Linked DNA regions of Oryzias latipes. The protein of the gene in region 1 purifies or fractionates together with the protein of each later gene. This does not show direct contact. Links are inferred from orthologs where the notes say so. Each region holds a gene or a part of one and is shown on either strand. Other genes may lie near its edges.

Region 1 (3,923 bases):
TAGATGGATAAAGGATACAGAACTGGTGAGGGGGACGAGTAATTCTTTTCCTGTATGGAAGAAAGAGGGAAAGTTGTTAAATTCAACCATCTGTATATATTAGACATTCTGTAGCCTCCAAGACTGAAGGACAGTCGGAGACTTGGACCTGGGACTTGAGTGACACTTCAGCCTCACATGCACTGACTTGACATTTGACGTCAAGGGCTTAAAACACGACTTGGAGCTTAGGATTTAGGATGTGTGTACGATACGTATTTGTTTATTCTTGTTATTTCGCTCCGTAACATCACTGTCACCTTGAAGCTCATCAAGAGAATGCCAAGAGTGTGCAAAGCAGGAATCAAAGCAAAAGGTGTCGTAAAATACTTTTTTCTTTGTGTTTATTTGATTATATTAAAGACTTTTAAATAAGAATGACGGTACCGTGATTTAGCTGCAGTATTAACTGTTTTCTGAAAAGTCCCGCCCCTTTAACTGTCTCCGCCAATCATTCTTGGAGTCTTAATCATACGTCATCAGTCTGACCAATCAGAAGTGGTTAAAGTCTTCACTTCCTTGTTCCATTTCTGCTCATAAAGTCTCTCAGTTCCAACAAAAATACCAGCTAAAGCTCGTCTTTAGCGGTGTAGCTTTCCACAGAATCCGGTGTCAGACCGTGGAACAAGGGAACAAAACCATGAAGCTCCAAGACGCCAGTCTGTCTGGCGTTTGCCGGCTGTTGACACTACATCTCCCATGATGCATTGGGTTAAAGTGGCAGCGTATCAGTGTACAATGAGTCTTCCTTTGACGTCTTGAAACCACAACGAACACACACCAAACAGTTTTTAAATCTTCTAACTTAACTTTTATTACATCTTTTAGAAAACCAGCTGCAGCTTCCAGCTTTTTCTGCCACAATGATCACAACAATGCATGTGAGATTGCAGAGGGGCTGTAGATCAAAACAGACTAGGAGTTTTATTTTTATTTTTGGATGCTGGTGTGCCACAGGATTTTTGTCAAGGTTAAAGTGTGCCGTGGCTCAAAAAAGGTGTGAAAACACTGATCTATGCGCACGTGGTGTGACGGTTAAAAGAGGTGCCATCCTAAGCAAAGTTAGAAGTAAAACTATAAAACATTTTTTAAAACATTAATGATCAAACAAATTACCAGTAAGGGACATTTTACATACCTTTGTTGTTTTCGGTCAGTACATTTAAACTGTCTTTTGCTTCAACATACTTGGTCTGCACAACTTTGAACTGGCCAATTGAAGAAGTCAAGAATTCAACTTCCTGGGAAAAAAAACACAGCATGAATTTCAAAAAAGCAATTAAAAAAAATTAAAAGAAACACCCCAGAGGAGTTCCATCTATGTACTCAGATACACCACCATTCACTAGTTTTAGAAAACGAATGTTTCCAGTTTTTTATTGACGCATAAGTGTGATGTTTTGTTGCATTGTGAAACAAAACTGATAGTAAAGCTGAGAAACTGAGGTTGCAAAAGCAGATCCTGGAAATGACCAAGTTATGCCAACACTCCTGCTGCCCCGTGGCCACAGTTTGCAGAAATGTTGAGCTGGCAGTTTCTTTCGGCCACCAAGCGCGGTCTGGACGGCGCTCAGCTGGAAATGATCGCACACAGGCTTTTTGGTAACGGTTTCAGTCGTGCTTTTGTGCAATTTTTCTTTCCAGCACGATTGTGTTCAATAATTTAGGTAGTTTTTCATTAACATAGTCATATCCTGAAATGCTACAACAATTTACTTCAGTGAGTGATGTTGTTATTTGATTAATTTTGTAGATGTTTAGCACTGACATCTGCCACATAGAGGTAAACTACACTAAACTGCACACCTGTGACTACTTCACCAGGATAGATTCTGTTGCATTTCTTGAATTCATTAGAATTTATAATAATTCCCAACGCCAGAATGCCTTATCAATAAGGGTATTATATGTTCTAGGGGTGTAAGAATAAACGTAGTTGAACCGAAGCGTTTCAGTACAGCAGGTTCGGTTCAGTTCACTTCTGTACCGTTAGGTACGTTTTTTCCCCCGGATGTGTGCATTGTAAAAACTCAGCTGCTTTGTCACTCATAGCGGGTGTATTGGTTGAATGACAACAATAAGCCTGATTCAAAATTTAACAAAAAAATGTAAATAATATAATGATAAGGCCAGGCAAGTTCAAACTGTGACTCATTTCTCTTAACTCTTGAAGGTCGCTACCCATCCTGTCTATGTATCAATTAAATCCTATAAAGTCTAAGGACAAATTGTAAAATAAACTATTGTCGGTTTTTTCTCTGTCAACTCAAAAACCCTTCTTTACAACCGAGCAGCACCTGAAACTCCACGCCCCTGCGGGGAAACATCATGACCCTCCGCGGCCGCTGCGCTGCTCTCATTCCCGCCTTTAGCGTAGACGCCTTCATGAAGAAGCAGCGGTCACATATTCAGTCTAAACTCACGCATTTTACCTGGTCCAGCTGGCCTTTGAGTCCTTCTAACTGCGGCAGAGAGAGGTCTGTGAGATTCACCGCCATGTTGGAAGCGTGGTGACAAAAGACGGATTCTTCTTCCGGTTGCGAGATGTACTTCCGGTTGACATATTTTCCGGTTTATTAGAACATGAAAGCTGTTTCAAAGTAAATATGATTTAAAATGAAATGCAAAAAATAAATAAATAAAAGGAAAGAAGAAAACTTCCTTTTTAAATATGTTGACTAGCTCTAGTTTATATGACTATTTTCTAACGCAGACTCTGCATAACAGTTTCTTTGATTGAAATTGAATGGGTTTTTTTCTGCAGAATATTAAAATTACGATAAGCATGAAGGTCAGTCGTAGTAAGACAGAATACATGTGTCTGAATGAGAGGGATCAAGGTAGAAGCGTTAGGTTACAGAGGGCTGAGGTGAAGAAGGTGCAGGAGTTTAAGTACTTGGGGTCAACAGTTCAGTGTGATGGGGAGTGTGGAAAAGAGGTGAAGAGGCGAGTGCAGGCAGGTTGGAGCAGTTGGAGGAAAGTGTCAGGAGTGTTGTGTGACAGAAGAGTGCCAGCAAGACTCAAAGGAAAGGTGTACAAGACAGTGGTGAGACCAGCTCTGCTCTATGGGTTAGAGACGGTAGCAGTGAGACAGAGACAAGAGGCTGAGATGGAGGTAGCGGAGATGAAGATGTTGAGGTTCTCCTTAGGAGTGACCAGGTTAGACAGGATAAGGAACGAGTACATCAGAGGGACGGCTCATGTTGCCTGTGTTAGCGACAAAGTCAGAGAAGCCAGACTGAGATGGTTTGGACATGTTCAGAGGAGGGATAGTGGATATATTGGTAGAAGGATGTTGGAGATGGAGCTGCCTGGCCGGAGGGCAAGAGGACGGCCAAAGAGGAGATACATGGATGTCTTAACAGAGGACATGAAGTTGGCTAACGTTAGGGTAGAAGATGTTCATGATAGAGTGAGGTGGAAAAGGATGATTCGCTGTGGCGACCCCTGATGGGAAAAGCCAAAAGAGAAAGAAGATTAAAATTACGATAAGAGACCATGGAAACGTACAATAATCTGGTTTTTAATTTAGTCAATTACATCTGCAGGTTGAACAACTGCCATGCAGTCTGTGGGTCAAGTATAGGGGCCCATACTTGTTCTAGTTTGCATATCAGTTACACGAAGCATTTGGCTGCATGTCATACTGTGTGTTTGTGACAAATATTTGAACTTTCTATTTTTGCTTAATATTTATTCAATATTGAAACATGCAGATTAATGACCTAGTATTTTCTAGACAAAATTGACACTACTTTCTTTATGCCATCACCCGCTTTGAAGTTTGGATTTAGGAATTAAATCTTAAGGTAGGCTACCTGAGGTTTGAAGCGTAGTTTATACTCTTATTCATAGACAAAAACGGCAAATTCTACCAAAACTCA
Region 2 (3,923 bases), on another chromosome or scaffold:
GAACATGCAATTTCATTCCCTGACTTTAGATGGCGCTTAATGTAAAACAGAAATACCCCTGTACACAAGGTGGCGCTGCGCAACTTTACGCTTCTTAAAGTCGCTTTTCACTCAGAAGAAGAGAGCAAGTATTTACGCGCTTGTCAGAATCAAACAAAGAAAACATGAATATTTCCAGCACCAGTAGCTCCAGTTCCAGCAATGAAGAAATTATTGTTCTGTTGAATGATGTGTTGCACCGAGTAAAGACTGATAACTGCCGTAAAGCAAGTCAAAGTTTTATTAACACAGGATCATTATTTGCAGTACAATACCTTTATACCGATGACACCACAGCAAACGATGAAAGACGCTGGAAAAGACGCAGATTTTGGGTACATCCCATAGTTACGAGAAGAGAAGAACATGGGGAGTTTTATCGACTGGTACGAGAGCTAAAAATGTATCATGAGCGTTTTCGGGGATATTTTAGAATGTCCGTCATTATTTCTTTGCGGCAGTGTAGATTCCACTTGGCGTCTTATCTTCTTCGCTGGTATGTGTGCTCAGAAAGGCAGTTTTGTGTTTGAGCGCCCCCAAGTTGTGTTTTACTGTAACTTCAGAAGCTCCAGACACGTGTCCAAAAGCCCCATTCTCATTAGTCGTATAGTTTTTGCCGCGTGGCGCCAAACCAAAAAAACGAACCCGAGGCATTTTTTATAAAGTGACGCTTTGAAGCGTGGCGTTTTTTCACGTCGGTGTGCACACTCACATTGGTGCCCTTTGTTTAGTCATGAGGCGTTAAACATCGGCGAATATCGCGCGCGAAATTCGTCCCGGTGTGTACGGGCCTTAACTGGCCACCTCTGCCACGAATCTCGTTCAGTGTGAACGCACCTTAAATGTAACCATAACACTAAACTTAACCTTTCCTCTGGGTCCGGGTGTTCAAGAATTAAGTTTTGCACTGGCCACAAGTATTTGGAAAATGACGTGTGAATAGTGCTATGCAAGTGTATTCAACAATTTTTACAATTTCTGGGACTGTCTATCGGTCTTCACTCAGGCAAGACGCAGCTTGCAGATAGGGGGAATCGAGGGCGGAGCTAATCAGCACCAATAGCCACGCCCATGTAGAGGAGTTCTTGGAAACACGCTTCAGATAAACATGACATTTTAAAGACATTTGGCTTGTGGAATTTTAGTTAAAAAAAACGTCGTAATTGTAACTAAAACACCACTGGGAACGTTTTTATTTTTTTTAAAAAAAAGGTCACGGGGAGTTTAAATAGATCATCGTTACTGGGAGGGGCTGTGGGCAAACTTGATGCTGCCACAAAATAAGCCCGAAGAAGACAATCTTGCGCATGCGCACTCGAAATCTACTCTAAAGATGGCGGCGCCCGTGGACCTGGAACTAAAAAAGGTGTGTAGTTTACAGGACGCCGAACACATCATATGTCTGACGCACGTGGTTGCGCATACTCTCCGATATTGGGTTACAGGCAGCTACCGCTGGTAGTTATTAGTGTGACCCATACCGCATTCAGTGGTGCACGCGGAAGGTTCACGAAATTCGGCTGACCGGTCACTTCACTAGTAACAAACATGTGAACCGGACCATTGTGTACCTGCACCGAATCTTTGAACCCCTTAGAGCAAAATGAGTTTTGAGGTTGCCCCCCCCCCCCCATCTCTTTGAAACGGCCGAGCATCCTTTCTGATCGGGTGGACCATATTCCAATCCCACAATCCTTTGCGGTATTAACACTGAGACAAAAGATGATGGGGTTTGAGGAAACCAGATTATGACAAACATGCTTGTAAATGTTAAAGTCCAGTTTTCCATCTTTCAGTGTCGTGGATTATTTTAGGTCAGATGTCGTTTTTTTTTTTTACCTCCTTTATGCAAACATTTAAATGGTCCAGGTTTATATCTTCATAGACTACCTTCATGTAGCAGATCGCTTTGCTTGTTAACTGATTTACAGGAGAGGCAGTGTTTCATTTTTCTGTTTGACTTCCTGAATCAAGCCAGAGAAAAGGAAGAGATGGGAGAAATAGTGAAACTCTGATTCTCTCCTGGTTTCCTTTTCGACTTTGAACAGAGCGATACTTCCTGTCTCTGCAGGCATTCGCCGAGCTACAGCTGAAGATGATTGACACACAGCAGAAGGTGAAGCTGGCCGACCTCCAGATTGATCAGCTGACTCGAGTTCAGAAACATGCCAAGCTCACAAGCACAGAGATCTCCTCGCTGCCGGAAAACACGCGCCTGTACGAGGGCGTCGGCCGAATGTAAGTGTGCTCTCCTGTAATCAATGCCAACTCACCAAAGAACACAGATGAGTTAGACACATCTGAAAAACATGAAACCAGTCTGGTTTTTCCATCAAATGTCTGGTTCTGCTTTGGAAATCTCAGTGTCACACGGTTCTACTGCAGTTGTGAAACCATGTGCCTCTTATTTTGAAAACTTTACATTTATTTTAAGGAGATCTCCACCAGATTCACATAAATTTCTTTTTGGAGAGGTTTTGATTGGCCTCATTGATGCTACTGAGGCTCCATGAGAGTTCCAGACAGAGGAATTCTGTCTGACCTGATTGACTTTATGAACTTCACATCCAGTCAACACTTTTATACACAAGTTTGAAGAGGATGTGCGTTTAGCAACTGATCTGCACAAACACTGAGCTACATAAGGGTTAATGGCCAACAAAGTGTGCTTTATCAGCATTAATGCACTTTATGCGTTAATGCTGATAGCACTCTTGCCTCGGAGCAAGAAGGCCACTGGTTCAAGTCCCGGCTGGGGGACCTGAAACAGAACATCAATGGGGGACCTTTCTGCATTGAGTTTGCATGTTCTCCTCGTGCATGCATGGGTTTTCTCCGGGGTCTCCAGCTTCCTCCCACCGTCCAAAAAGATGCTCCATAGGTTAATTGGCAACTCTAAATTGTCCATAGGTGTGAATGTGAGTGTGAATGGGTGTGTGACTGTGACCCTGCGGCAGACTGGCGACCTGTCCAGGGTGTCCTCTGCCTTCACCCATAAGTGGCCGGGATAGGCTCCGGCAGCCCCGTGACTCCGAAAGGGAACAAACGGAAGAAAATGAATGAATGAATGCACTTTGTGGAAGCAACCGTCCTCCGCAGTTGCTTCCATAAAGTGCATTAATTTCTGATTGTGCCCACTTTGACAGCCGTTAATCCGCTGCTACCATGATTACTTACAAAAGAAATAAATATATAACCAGTTTTTAGGCCTTTCATTCTAACATTTTTATGGTTCCAATCTCTTTTTTTTCTCTTCACAAAAAGTCGACTATTTGTTACGTGTCACGGTAACATAACGCGCTGCTTAGCCCCACTGACCTCGACTGCTGCGGCAAAGGAAAGCAATATATATGCTGATCGTCACCACGGGTTAAATAAAGCATCAGTTCAGAGAGAAAGTTTACCTCTTTTAGTCCAGATGATGAGGCTGAAGTTTGTTTTAAAGAAGCCAGTGCAGTGATACAGAACAGTTAAGCTATGTGCCCGGAACTTCTTTTTTAGGCGTACATTATCACCGTGGATTATCACTTTAATGCACACCCAGCAGCCAATCAGAATCGAGTATTCACCCGGACCATGGTATAAAGAAACGTTAATGTCTGAATGCTGCCTTTAGGTTCATCTGCCCTGCCGATCCTATAGATGACAGAAAACTGTTGTTTCAGGTTCATTCTTCAGTCCAGGGAGAAGATCAACAACCTGCTGACAGACAAACAGAAAACCGTGGACGAGAAGATCAAGGAGCTTGAGGTGCGAGTGCCTGCTCCATCACAGCTCGCAGTGCATGTTTGCGGGTTTCTGACTGTTGCTGCCCGTTTGTGGTCTCTTGCAGCAGAAGAAGGTGTACTTGGAGCGCAGCGTGAAGGAGGCTGAAGACAACATCA

What was found.
Region 2: the proteins of pfdn5 (region 1) and pfdn1 purify together in Homo sapiens (affinity purification with mass spectrometry; 7 studies listed by BioGRID and IntAct, with this or other methods). This does not show direct contact. The link is inferred for Oryzias latipes from reciprocal best matches to the Homo sapiens genes PFDN5 and PFDN1.

What each region holds. Positions count from the first base shown.
Region 1 is NC_019863.2:4,452,235-4,456,157, reverse strand, and holds the start of pfdn5 (prefoldin subunit 5), read right to left. Parts: upstream 2,472-3,923; 5' UTR 2,427-2,471; coding exon 2,337-2,426; intron 1,281-2,336; coding exon 1,178-1,280; intron 51-1,177; coding exon 19-50; intron 1-18. UniProt on the Homo sapiens protein: Binds specifically to cytosolic chaperonin (c-CPN) and transfers target proteins to it. Binds to nascent polypeptide chain and promotes folding in an environment in which there are many competing pathways for nonnative proteins.
Region 2 is NC_019872.2:23,090,112-23,094,034, forward strand, and holds the start of pfdn1 (prefoldin subunit 1), read left to right. Parts: upstream 1-1,240; 5' UTR 1,241-1,306; coding exon 1,307-1,405; intron 1,406-2,110; coding exon 2,111-2,277; intron 2,278-3,704; coding exon 3,705-3,789; intron 3,790-3,871; coding exon 3,872-3,923. UniProt on the Homo sapiens protein: Binds specifically to cytosolic chaperonin (c-CPN) and transfers target proteins to it. Binds to nascent polypeptide chain and promotes folding in an environment in which there are many competing pathways for nonnative proteins.